3 linked regions of the Tribolium castaneum genome follow. The protein of the gene in region 3 binds, or shares a complex with, the protein of the main gene of each other region. Links are inferred from orthologs where the notes say so. Each region holds a gene or a part of one and is shown on either strand. Other genes may lie near its edges.

Region 1 (3,803 bases), on a different chromosome or scaffold from region 3:
GGAGTCAATTAATAACGCGGGGGGCTAAAGCCTCGCACTGGCTGCCACCCCCGTGCACGCAGACGGTTTAACCTTGGAAAGTTCACACCGAGAGATAAAACGGATTGTTTGTTTTTATTTACAAATTGCCACAATTTCCGGTCATTCTCACACCGCCTCGGCCGGCTTTCGGCACAGTTACGAGCAGCCACATTGGGGCCATTTCGGCCCCCTCGCGTGTCCCAACGACCCGAAAAGTGGAAGCACCAACAAAAGATAACCTTCAAAAATAAACATATGATACTCACCCAGGAATTCACCACGCATTCATGCGCCTTCACGGCGGCGACATATCGAAACGACACACAATAACATTTTTGCGTACAATTCGAACAATGATCGTCTGAACCAAGCGAAAAATTCGATTTTTTGACTCAAATAAAATTCAGCACTGCGAAACCATCTTGTTTTTTAGTTCGACTGTCTTCCACGAAGATGGCAGCAGGTGATTCAAACGCGAGCGCCAACTTAAATTTTTATTGGAAAATACAATCAACCGGAATGTTCATTTAAAAATTGCTGTAATAACGCGTTTGCAATCGGGATTATCAAATACTCAGTCCCGTCTGGCGCTCTCTTGAACTTCACCATTTTGTGGTCCACGAATTCGGTGAGTTGGGCCCGCAATGCCAGGTCCGAACTCACCAAAAATGCCTCGCGGCACAAAGAGTACAAGTCTTTAAACGCCAGGCCTGCAACAAATCAATCAGTTTTGAACGCACAAACTGATAAATCACCTTGATAGTATTGTTTTTTGCCATTTTCGATTTGATACTTGACGAGGATTAAGTAAATTCCTTTGGAGTTGCTCGTCAGTGATAAGAAAACGTTCCGAAGCGATGATAAGGCCAGGTTTCCGGTCCTTTGGACCAACATTGAGCTTTCGAAGGACGTTTCGTCAATATAGCGTTGGAAAGTGGTAACGTCCCACCACGTGAAATTGAATTTACTTATTTTGGAATGGTCCCAAACTAAAACAACAATCAAAGTTTTTGCGCACTACTAGAATTTTTCATTACTTAGGGGGGCATTTATGTGGTCAATTGACGCGATTAGATGAATGTTATTGACTGACGCGAGTCTTGCAAAGACACTTTGGGCTTTTCCACTCCGCATCATGTCGATGTTGTGCACAATGAGGTATAAATGAGTTTCGGGAATAAAACTAAATTCGCGCTCGATAAGGTCGCAGGCCTCGTAAATATTTGAGGGATTTTCCTTCAGTTCTAGTAAATTTAAAATAATCCCGTCAAGGACATCTTTAATTGATAATGAAGGGAAAAATCCGTTCACGACAACCGTTGGCAACTTCTTCAAACACTTTTCGTGAAAAGCATTCAAAACGCCCTTCTTTGAGCCCAACCCATACAACAAAATATTGAAATTTTCATGCATCAAATACATCCACTTATCAAAATAGGCGCAATTCGTCTCGATTAATTTTTTCGTGGCTTTTTCATGCTCACACCCTAGGCTAACTCTCGACAAAAGTTTATGCAGTTGGTCTTGCGGCAGTCTTGGTGTCTCCAACTTATCTAAAGTGTGATTGGACGTTAGAGTTTTTTTACTGGCGTGTTGTGCGAAATAATCGTCTGTTTTTATAGTGTAATTGACTTTTCTCGCTCCTAAAGTGGGTTTAATATTTTTGTTTTGCGGGGGAGGCGGTGTGTCGTCACTGCTGGAAGACTCCTCTGAATTTTCCTCAGACACTTCGAATTCACTCTCACTGGCTGAAAAATCATCTCCGCTCGAACCATTCTCTTCCAAAATTTTCGCCACGATATTTTTCCTCATTTTGTCCCTAAAAGCGTGCGGCGTTTGTTGAACGACTTCGCACTTTTTGCGCGTTTGAAACGTGAATAATTTATCACCAGGGACATGGTCATTATCGTGCAAAACTACAAAAAACTCATGAAGGAAGTTATACAACAGGCAAATGGTCCACCTGTTGGTTTTTCACTACTCTCACAATTGGAATCGTCCTCAGACTCAGTTGCTGTAGAAATATTCAGTTTTTTAAAGCCACGTTTCCTCCTACTGGAAGTAGATACGTATTCTTTAGCTTTTAGACTCAAATTGCGTTGCCGGGAACCCCTGCGGGGCGAAAATAACTCAGGGTCTGCACAGTCGTCTAAAATTGAGGTTAGGTGGGTTCTCAGGTCAAATAAGAGAGAAATTGGTACAAACCTGCCATTTCAGACCACTAGTAACCTTAAGCAGCAATTATAATTAAAGTTTAGTGCAAATTGTTGCTAATATTTCGATATTAAAACGTTTGGCGCCCTCCAAACTTAAAATTAAAACAAAGTGACTATGCAACCAATTATACACTTGACATTTAGTCATTTTTAAAATTTTTTGGAAAGCTGTATGTAGAGTAAAAAGCAACGTTTGGACGAAATTTCAGCATAATTTACTATGCTAGTAATCTTTACCAACTAACAATTGCTATTATTTGGATAGTCTCGGTCAAGTTATCATATTGGTGTGAATTTATATATTTTTTTTTTGGCTTTTTATTCCGAGCATGTGGCCCCCTAATTACCTCATGGAAACGTTTTTTGGAAGTAACCCCGCCAAAACCCGAGTCGTAGAACAAATTCTATTTATACCACCCACGGGTGTTCTAAAATAACTAGCGACTTTGAGGTCGATCTTGCGGCATTAAAACACGATTTTGGTGTACTTAAATAAATTTAATGAGCATTATGATTACAGTTACAAAAATAATCAATGTCTAAAAGAAACCAACTAAAAATTAAAGATATTGCTTAGACAACATTAAATGTGCCCACTTCACATGGAAGTGGGAGACCAAAAATTCATTTCCCTAAGTTCTGACGGTTTGGGTACAAACACCTGACTCCTCTTGCCATTCGACACCTCATCCACACTCAAATTCGACTCTGTCCTCTTCATCTCCTTCTCCTCTTCAGCGATAAAGCCCATACTCTGTGACAAATTCTGCCTCTTGGCCAACAAATTCGACAAAATCCAACTGCCCTGGTGTTCGGAGTCGACAAAAGGCCCCGTGAAGTATTTGTTCACGCGTCGCGTGCTTTTCGGGGACGAGTTGGGGGACGTCAGGGGCGACGCGGGCAACGACTTGCTCCCTCGACGTAACGAAGGGTTGAAACCCTCTGGGGGCAAATCACAATCTTTTTTCTGGATGTCAAAGCCACGGATGGCTTTCCCTAACACCATCTGGTGGGCCACTCGCACCACAGAAGTGCCGCATTTCGCGGCCTCGCCTTTGAAACCGTCGTCCACGCCACTGGACTTGGTCTTGGTGGCGGAGGGGAAGCGGACCTGTTGGGCCGTGGTACTATCTGGAAAAGACCATATGGGGCTGTTACCACCAAGGGAATGGCGTTACCGGTCAAGGGGAGGGGCTCCATGGTGCGCGCGGACGGCCATTCAACAATGAACTGGATTTAGACTTGTTTGCGTTAGATAAGTTTCAATACCGGGTGGCCACATATTAACGAAAGGAAAACAAAGAATTCACTTGGAATTATTTATTGTGGACACGTGGTGCAAAATTAACAATGAAGTGTGGTTAAAAACACAAAGAGTTGGGACGTAGTAAACAGCGTTACGTAAAACATTTATCGCGATTTTGAAGCAAATAGTGCGATAAAAAATTCAGTCAACATTTGAAAATTTGCGTCAGTGATAAGTGATAATTGAGATAACTTACCAATCGAGTTCTGGAGAAACTTCTGGCAATAGGGGGTGTGTTTGGAAAAATCGGGCTGGGCCCC
Region 2 (3,474 bases), on a different chromosome or scaffold from region 3:
GCGCTGTAGCAACAAAACCGAATTTTTTGCTGAAAGCTAATCTATTTTTCAGACCAAACTCCAACTACATAACAGAATTATCAGCAATTTGGGAAGATTTCATTATATTGTTACAAATGGTTCAGTTACTTTGCAAATTCGGAGGTAATTATAACCGTTAATAAAAAAGTAACCGAATTAAGTTCGCATTACGAGCAATTTTTTCCGTAAATTTCCGAAATTTCATGGTCCAAACATCACAAGCCACTTATCCTAATGCATTTAGTCGTTTATTGCCCCACCGTGCGTCTCCTATCAATAGATCTGTGACAAGCCGATTTTTTATGTGTCCATAAAGCAACCTCCCCCAAGTCTATAACTCTTTATAACGTCAAAGAAGGGCCAGTTTCTCTTCAGCGTCGTTTATATATCTCGTCCTTAATCCAGTCGAGATCACATTAAATATTTGTCGTCGGCGGCGGTAAGCAAAGCAAAGAATGGAAGGGAAAAATCGCTCACCCTTTTCCATCGTCACTCAATCGCGCCGTAATGTCATTTCTTTATTTATCTTGGAGCAAGAAATCACATCGCGTCGCGGCGGCAGCGTCGCGGTGCGTCTTCCCAACGTCCTTTTTTTGGTCGGTGTGTGGCGTGGCAGTGGTGCTTTTACGAACACAAGTCGCGGCGGCAGATGATCGTCTTCGCGAGCACGAATCTCGACTGCAGGAGGCTCGAGGTCACAACCGCTTCCACCAGGAGTCTGCAAGCGGGTCGCAAATCGATGAGGGCGGACTACGCAAGCTCCACTGTCACTGGCGCCCCGCACACACCATTTTTTAGACACTATCGCCCCGCAATCGGACATTAGACGCACTTACTTCGACGATAATTACCCAAAGAAGAAGTTTTGACGAAATGAAGGCGACGAGAATGGCGACTTGCACAACGGGGCTTTCGCGTGTAAATCAAGAGATAATCGAAGAAAGTCGATGGGAAGGAGATGGTATTCCGGGCACGCTTCCCATCGTCCGGAATTGATGGCGACGTGAGCTTTTGTTGGGCGGGCGAAAGGCTACGATACACTTTTTCCTCGGTCGGATTAGTAATTTGATGCGGATATTGCATTCGTGTGTTTGGTATCGATTCTTTGGAGGAGAAATGTTTCGGAATGGGATTGTTTTGCCGGACGGCTACTGACGTAGATTTAATAAATCATTTTTTCGATTAATTGGAGGAAAAATTGGACAAAGTCTACAGAGCACTCGAACTGAGAAATGCGATGTTCTTGCCAAATTTAAATTATTTATTTAAATGCAACCAAAATGTTATTCCAGAAACGTATGGCTCGCAGCAAGACAAGAAAAGTCGTGGTTTTGTCTTGAAATTAGTACCAAGACCGAAATTATTAGTGTGAAATATTCAAGAACTTTGGTCCAAAAAAAGCTTATGAATTTTTCAAGATTAACCACCCCCCTCTTTGTCACCAAGACGATTTTTGCTGACGTTTTTCAAAATTAATAATGAACCGGAACATCAATTGTTATTAAAATGTCCACGGATGATTTTTCTACTGGAGCCAAGTTAAGAGTGTTTGACAGTAGATTAGATGAAATATGTTTTTGGTTTGGCATTATGACATTTGAGCAGAGGATTTGTTCTGGTTGCAGGTTAATAGCGATGATGTCCACACTATCTCGCCTGGAGTCGACTTTGCCCTGTCGCTCCTCCCAAATAGGCCAACTTTATAATCTCTTCGGGCACAACGAGGAGCCGTTTCCTGGCAGCGTTTACATTAGCGGAGGTCCGAGCGTCGGCAAATCCATTGTTGTTAGTCGAGTTTTGGAGGAAGTTGGTGTTAAGCATGCAGTTATCAATATGATCGAATGCTACACCAGTAAAATCCTGTACGAGACGATTTTGAGCAAGCTTTGTGGCTTAGTGGATACGAAATGCGAGAACATGATGGATTTCATTGATCATTTGCAGCGGAATCGGTCCGAAATACACCGATCTGTGCTAATTATCGACAAAGCCGACAAGCTCCGGACTATGGATTTCAACATATTTCCGGGATTTCTCAAACTCAAAGAGCTCACCGGAGGGATTCACATAAGCGTCATTTTCCTCTCACAAATCATCCTTCAGAAGTTCTATTCCAAAACTAACATCGTCGAGCCGATTCAAATCACCTTTCCTCAATACAACAAAGATGAATTACTGGAGATCCTCACGTTGGATATCGATTATGCCCGAAATCTGATTATCAATAATGCGAAAGGTGGAGGGTTTGAATTTGACGTCGACTTTTATCGAAATTACTTGAATGTTTTTCTTTCGGTTTTTTATCGAAACTGTCGGGACTTGACAGAACTTCGTTATATCGCCAGAAGTAACTTTCTCAACTACTGTCAACCGATCATCAGTAAAGAAAACACCATCAGCGATTCGCTGGCTTTGTGGAGAAAAGTCGCACCCACTCTCAAACAAGCCCTGCAGAATCTCTATCTGAGAGTCTCAACAGTCACTCTACCGCAGAGCCTCGAACTGCCCTTCTATGCCAAATATCTACTAATTGCTGCCTATCTAGCCAGCTATAATCCTGCAAAGGACGATAAGAGACTGTTCATGAAGTATCACGGAAAGAAAACGAAAACTTTGAGAGATGTTAAGAAGAAAAGTAAAGTGAGCGAACAGCTGAACACTGTCCTGGGACCCAAACCCTTCAGTTTTGATAGATTGCTGGCGATTTTTTATTCCATAGTTGAGGACAAAGTCGGTTTTAATAACAATCTATTGGTACAAGTGTCAAGTCTAGTGGAACTGCAATTGCTATCGAGCTTATCCGATAGTTCAAGCCTGGATGGAGCCAAATACAAATGTAACGTCAACTTTGATTTCATCCAAACAGTGTGCAAGATGGTGGGTTTCAACATTCGCAAATATTTGAGTGATTTCAGTCACATGTGAATGAGTTAATACATTTTTCTAATATAAGATTGATTTTTTCTTTATGCCCGTCCTTCGGAAGTTAAATCACTTAGCTCTATGATGCGCCTTGTTTTACGATTGGTCCGATTTTTACTATTGGTTATCGAGGCGAACGTTTATAGCTGGAAGTTACGAGGTAGGTAAGGAGTGTGGGTGTCTCGAGAGGATTGTCTTCTTTTTGCCAAAGGGGAAATCAGAGCTTGGCTCGGTAAACGCAGTAAAAGCATCGTCAATGGATATTCACGGAGTGTCTTAAAAAAATCGCGCAAGGGATGTAATAAGCTGCTAATGCGAGGTTACGACCGCGCGTATATCAAATTTGATGGTATTGACGGAGGAATTATGTCATTAGGCCGCGGCCTCGATGCAACGATCGATGCGTTTCATTGTGTGTAGGGCACAGCGGGTACAAACGTTGGGGGTAACGGGACGGAGCGGGATTGATGGGCCAGTCGGCGTTTGATGAATGATATTTTAACTGTTCATTGTCCATACTGAGGGGAATTC
Region 3 (4,117 bases):
AATTATTGGCGAAAGTATTGGTAGAAAAATTTAATAAATATAAAGACATTGGTAGAAAAAATTAGCCACCCCAAGTGAGTCTGGCCACATGGTCAGTCTTCCTTTTGGAGCTCTTGATGAATCCCAAATACTCCAGTTCGGCTACAGCCTGCGTAAATCGGGCCCTAAATGTGCGTTAAGTCAAATTTTATTAAAAAAAATAAAATAAAAACAAAAAAAGGATACTGCAACTGAGGACTGACTTTCGGGTTGTCTTCAGTCTCCTGTGGGTCAACAATACTAAGGAAAGACTGGAGCCAGTCGTACAAATTAATCATTTTCCCACACTCTAAGTGGAGTTTGTAGACGATACTGATGTCAGGCATTGAGGGAAGGATCACAGAATCGGTGGCAATTTCGCAGCAAGGACACTAAAACAATACAGTATTTTCCCCTTCGTGTTAACACAAGTATTGTAAAAAAATAATTACCTGTAAATAAACGTGGGGGTCATTGAGCGCTGTGTGAATAGCCGCCCTGTGAGAGCCTATGATGTGAGTCTGGACTGAAATGTCGTTAAAGAAGAAAATTTCGTGAAAGTGAAAATCGGTCGGTTCCTGTAAATATATTTCGAACTGTTCGGACAAAAAATTGAGTAAGCCTGAGCGGATTTTCTCGTATTTGTTCATCGGTTTGTTTTGCTTCGACATTTGGAGCAATTTCTGGAAGAAAAAACTAGACACGTAATAAAAAATCACCGGAAAAAACCTCTCTGAGTTGTAATCTCCCCATTAGTTCACTTATGCCCTCTTGGGCCACCTCATTTTCGTCTTCTTCCTGATCAAGATTGTGTAAATTATCCAAAAAACGGTTAAGCCTATCGGTTATCACACGCCCCACTTCCAAACCCTCACTGTTATTAACAATTAAATCCGTGATTCTTTTCACTTTGTTACACAATTCGTCCCTCGATTGAAACGCCAGTAGTTGGAAACACTCTTTATATTCCTGACTTTTGGTAATATTTCGTGAAACGGCACACGCGTACAGTTCACGAACCTTCAAAACCTAGTTAATTTGACGATTGCAATGAAAATACTTGACACCTGTTTCCCCAAAGGCGCTTTGGGTAAATCCCCCACAAGAACGTGCAAGCACCTCAAAAACAAGTGCAAATTCGGCAAATACGCCACAATTTTGCGCACTTCCCGCAGCAAAACATTTCTGAAATAATTATCATCAGTCAGGAGCGCGATTCGGGCTTCCGGGGATTCACTCTCGACCAGTTTTCGGAACGACATCAACCGACGAGCATTTTCGAGATCATCGTGCGAGAAATCGGAGATAATTTGCTTGATGTGTTTCCTCTGACAGAGGGCCATAACATTGCCGTAACAAAAATGCTCAAGCATGGCGTACTAAAACCAAAATTTCACGAAAAAGTGACACAATTTTCGGCGCAATCACCTTAAAGTTCTGGATAAAACCGCTGACTGAAAGATCGTAAAATAGGAAAATGTCGGTGAATAAATTAAAAACCTTGCCGCCTAAGTGAAAGGGGCACTGGCGCGAAAATAAAATATTCTCCAATATGTTGTTCAAATAAACCGTGGAGGGAGTTGAGTGAAAAACCTGGATGTTAATGCGCGAGGAAACGTAACAAGGGAGTGACCGATGAACGGCGTTAAGGGACGTCGCAACTCCAAAAACAAAGACAAAGGGTAAAACGTTTAGATACGAGCTCGCGATTTGGATAAAATCTTGCAACACTTTCGGGGCAAAATTCTCAAAATCGGGGATTATAACAACGATTATGTTTTTATTGTGTTTGGTTTTTTGCTTTTTTGGCGAGTTGGCGGTTCCTGGAGGTTGGTAGAGTTCCTCATACCAGGCCTGGAGAAGTGTGAAACTGCACTGTGATTTTTTAATCTGGCGCGTGTCTGAGTCAGAATCCTTCGGAAATCATTGCATCATTGAAACGAAACGCCTTTTACTTTCTTACCTCATCTATAAGTTGTTCGCTTTTGACTAATTGATTGACCATTATTTCAACGAGATATTTCAAACTGTGGCAATCCTCGCCACTGAGAGTAACAACGTGTGGTGTTATTGAGCGTTTGATTTCTTTTTTGAGCGTTTTGAATTGGACTGAATGGTCGGGCATGTTTATGCCAGTGAGTAAAGCTGCGGCTGGGATTTCACTCACTGTGTCTTTGTAACAGTTTTTGAGAAAATTTACTAAACTACAAAGGATATTGGAAAACATGGCGTTATTTAATTCCTAAAATAAATCAAATAAAAAATACTTAGCGCACGAAAGTGAGGATTAGTACTTGAATTTGGGTTTCGATTGATTCCCACAAAGACTTGTAAGTTTTATACCACAAGCTATCACAGTAGAGACTCTGGGTACGTTTGTCTTTCGTTCTGGATTTTTTTGAAGCTGCTTTAGCCCCATTTTTGAAGACAAAAACACCCTGAAATTGGCGCCAAATTGTGAACAATCATTAAATGCAATCTCAGTACGACTGAATCTTGATTTTGCAATAAACTAGTGTTAAGTACGCATATCAGAGGCGGAAAACGTTGATAAAAGAGTGTTACAAAGGAAAAATAGCGCAATTTTAACACAAGTTTTCAGGTTAGGTTTCGAATATTACCTTTGAAACGGACACGGTCGCAGCCATTTCAATAAACAATATTCACGTAACTCTATTGCGTAAAACTAAATAAATTTTTTAGATTAAAATTGTTCAGTAATCACAAATAAGTTACAATTGTTACAACAAACAACAATTTGAAAAATGACATTTGACATTACGAGCCATTTTGAAGCTGGTGGCGCTTTTTATGAAAAGTTTCCAAAACCATAAAAGTAAAAAATACAAATTTTGATTAAAAATATTACTGTGCTGTGTCACACTAAATATATCCAATTATGGCTGTGCTAAATTAATTTGTGTTAATCAAAAATTAAATAAAACTAAAAATATTATCACTGTATTGTTGGTTGCATGCTCAAAAGCTTTATTGTGGCGTGTAAAGAATTTGTAAATTGTAACATTGTAACTTGTATTTTTTATTTTTTTTCTGAAATAAATAATAACTGATTATAAGAATTTCAAAAAAAAACATTTTGAGGGAGAGGATAGCTAGTTACGGTATAGTTAAGAAAATCGCATCCATAAAAAAATAATTTAGCGCACGAGAGATCTTTCTTTATTAGGTGTATCAAGCAAAAAATAAATAATAAATAAATAAATAAAAATAATATATAAATAAAAAAATTATTACTAATTTAATGCACTCCTAAAGCAGGAAAGTGTACTTCCGTCAGAGTTAAGTACAGTGGAACTCCCAACATTTTATTTAAATTTCAGTAAACTTTGTAATCTGACACAGACCTTTCCATAATCTAACGTTCTATTTATTATACGTAGTAGCATTGAACTTCCTCACTCCATATATTCAGCTTACGATTATGTTCATCTGCTAAAATAGCATCTTGCAAGCTTGGCTACCTATTAACCTATTAATCTGTAGCCAGACGTTATTAGAACAAGAGCAAAAATCAAGGCAACACTAAACACCTAACTCTAGTTATGAGTTATGACTATGAGATGTTAAATAATTAAACAACGCAAGAATAAAAAATATTACTAGTGCTTTGAAGCGTTTCCATTTTAGATTTTATCGAAAAAAACCCACCGAAAAGAGTTTTTAAATTAATGTCAAGGTATACTTTACATACCCATGGTTACTTACTTAATTATGTAAATACTTAATTTGAGGTGGTTCACGTTTTACGGTATTGGCCATCTGCAGAGTGCATTTTGTAAGCACAGCAGGTATAAGGTTTTAAAATTGCTCTGAAACATGATGTGTCATCGTATTACTCTGCAGGTGAAGTGTATAACTTTGCGATGTTTGACTGATAAAGAAATAATTGCACGGTTTCTTGAAACATAAAACAAAAGCAACAATCACGTGTGGAAAAACAGAGGCTTAACTCCCTAAAAATTGTATCAAATTGTTTATTTTTTGCCATAATGTTCCAAGAATAAACAAACCAATGTTTTGTTTATTCTTGAAGAAACTCGTTTATCCAAATAAGGCAAACAGAGTGATATGTTGACTC

What was found.
Region 1: the proteins of Orc3 (region 3) and Orc2 are in contact, whole or in part, in a cryo-EM structure (PDB 7JPO), measured with the Homo sapiens proteins. The link is inferred for Tribolium castaneum from reciprocal best matches to the Homo sapiens genes ORC3 and ORC2. Residues at the interface, in NP_036513.2 of Homo sapiens: Thr3, Ser4, Ser5, Met6, Ser7, Lys8, Gly9, Cys10, Phe11, Val12, Phe13, Lys14, Pro15, Arg20, Ile22, Ile26, Tyr29, Phe30, Lys32, Tyr47, Val111, Thr112, Lys139, Asp318, Lys326, Gln329, Leu330, Leu333, Tyr337, Glu589; in NP_006181.1 of Homo sapiens: Leu239, Glu242, Tyr243, Ala246, His247, Asp268, Arg273, Leu276, Val279, Ser280, Phe283, Glu286, Leu287, Leu290, Lys296, Leu297, His299, Lys300, Met302, Leu303, Gln304, His306, Leu307, Phe309, Tyr314, Gly315, Leu316, Arg320, Glu324, Arg327.
Region 2: the proteins of Orc3 (region 3) and Orc5 are in contact, whole or in part, in a cryo-EM structure (PDB 7JPO), measured with the Homo sapiens proteins. The link is inferred for Tribolium castaneum from reciprocal best matches to the Homo sapiens genes ORC3 and ORC5. Residues at the interface, in NP_036513.2 of Homo sapiens: Glu99, Val109, Met144, Lys145, Leu148, His178, Ser180, Met181, Asp182, Glu223, Asp232, Ile235, Ile236, Gln239, His240, Ala253, Thr254, Ser255, Pro256, Ile257, Ile258, Ile259, Arg261, His265, Ser269, Cys272, Ile273, Glu274, Leu275, Ser280; in NP_002544.1 of Homo sapiens: Asn62, Val64, Glu65, Phe67, Thr68, Arg70, Leu71, Gln75, Tyr129, Leu270, Arg271, Ser274, Ser275, Ser276, Gln277, Leu294, His297, Thr298, His299, Val300, Glu301, Leu302, Pro303, Tyr304, Tyr305, Ser306, Asp360, Tyr367, Arg373, Pro376.

What each region holds. Positions count from the first base shown.
Region 1 is NC_087397.1:6,382,038-6,385,840, reverse strand, and holds Orc2 (origin recognition complex subunit 2), read right to left. Parts: upstream 2,385-3,803; 5' UTR 2,234-2,384; coding exon 2,227-2,233; intron 2,171-2,226; coding exon 1,985-2,170; intron 1,938-1,984; coding exon 1,059-1,937; intron 1,011-1,058; coding exon 777-1,010; intron 732-776; coding exon 532-731; 3' UTR 503-531; downstream 1-502. Other genes in the region: uncharacterized protein LOC655336, read right to left, coding at 2,836-3,368, 3,740-3,803. UniProt on the Homo sapiens protein: Component of the origin recognition complex (ORC) that binds origins of replication. DNA-binding is ATP-dependent. The specific DNA sequences that define origins of replication have not been identified yet.
Region 2 is NC_087395.1:24,006,931-24,010,404, forward strand, and holds the end of Orc5 (origin recognition complex subunit 5), read left to right. Parts: intron 1-498; coding exon of another isoform or gene 499-508; exon of another isoform or gene 509-1,194; intron 1,195-1,626; 5' UTR 1,627-1,656; coding exon 1,657-2,946; 3' UTR 2,947-2,973; downstream 2,974-3,474. Other genes in the region: uncharacterized protein LOC663028, read right to left, coding at 499-508. UniProt on the Homo sapiens protein: Component of the origin recognition complex (ORC) that binds origins of replication. DNA-binding is ATP-dependent. The specific DNA sequences that define origins of replication have not been identified yet.
Region 3 is NC_087398.1:1,395,537-1,399,653, reverse strand, and holds Orc3 (origin recognition complex subunit 3), read right to left. Parts: upstream 2,816-4,117; 5' UTR 2,667-2,815; coding exon 2,640-2,666; intron 2,457-2,639; coding exon 2,313-2,456; intron 2,261-2,312; coding exon 1,982-2,260; intron 1,933-1,981; coding exon 1,447-1,932; intron 1,398-1,446; coding exon 1,086-1,397; intron 1,039-1,085; coding exon 748-1,038; intron 702-747; coding exon 471-701; intron 411-470; coding exon 226-410; intron 165-225; coding exon 62-164; 3' UTR 16-61; downstream 1-15. UniProt on the Homo sapiens protein: Component of the origin recognition complex (ORC) that binds origins of replication. DNA-binding is ATP-dependent. The specific DNA sequences that define origins of replication have not been identified yet.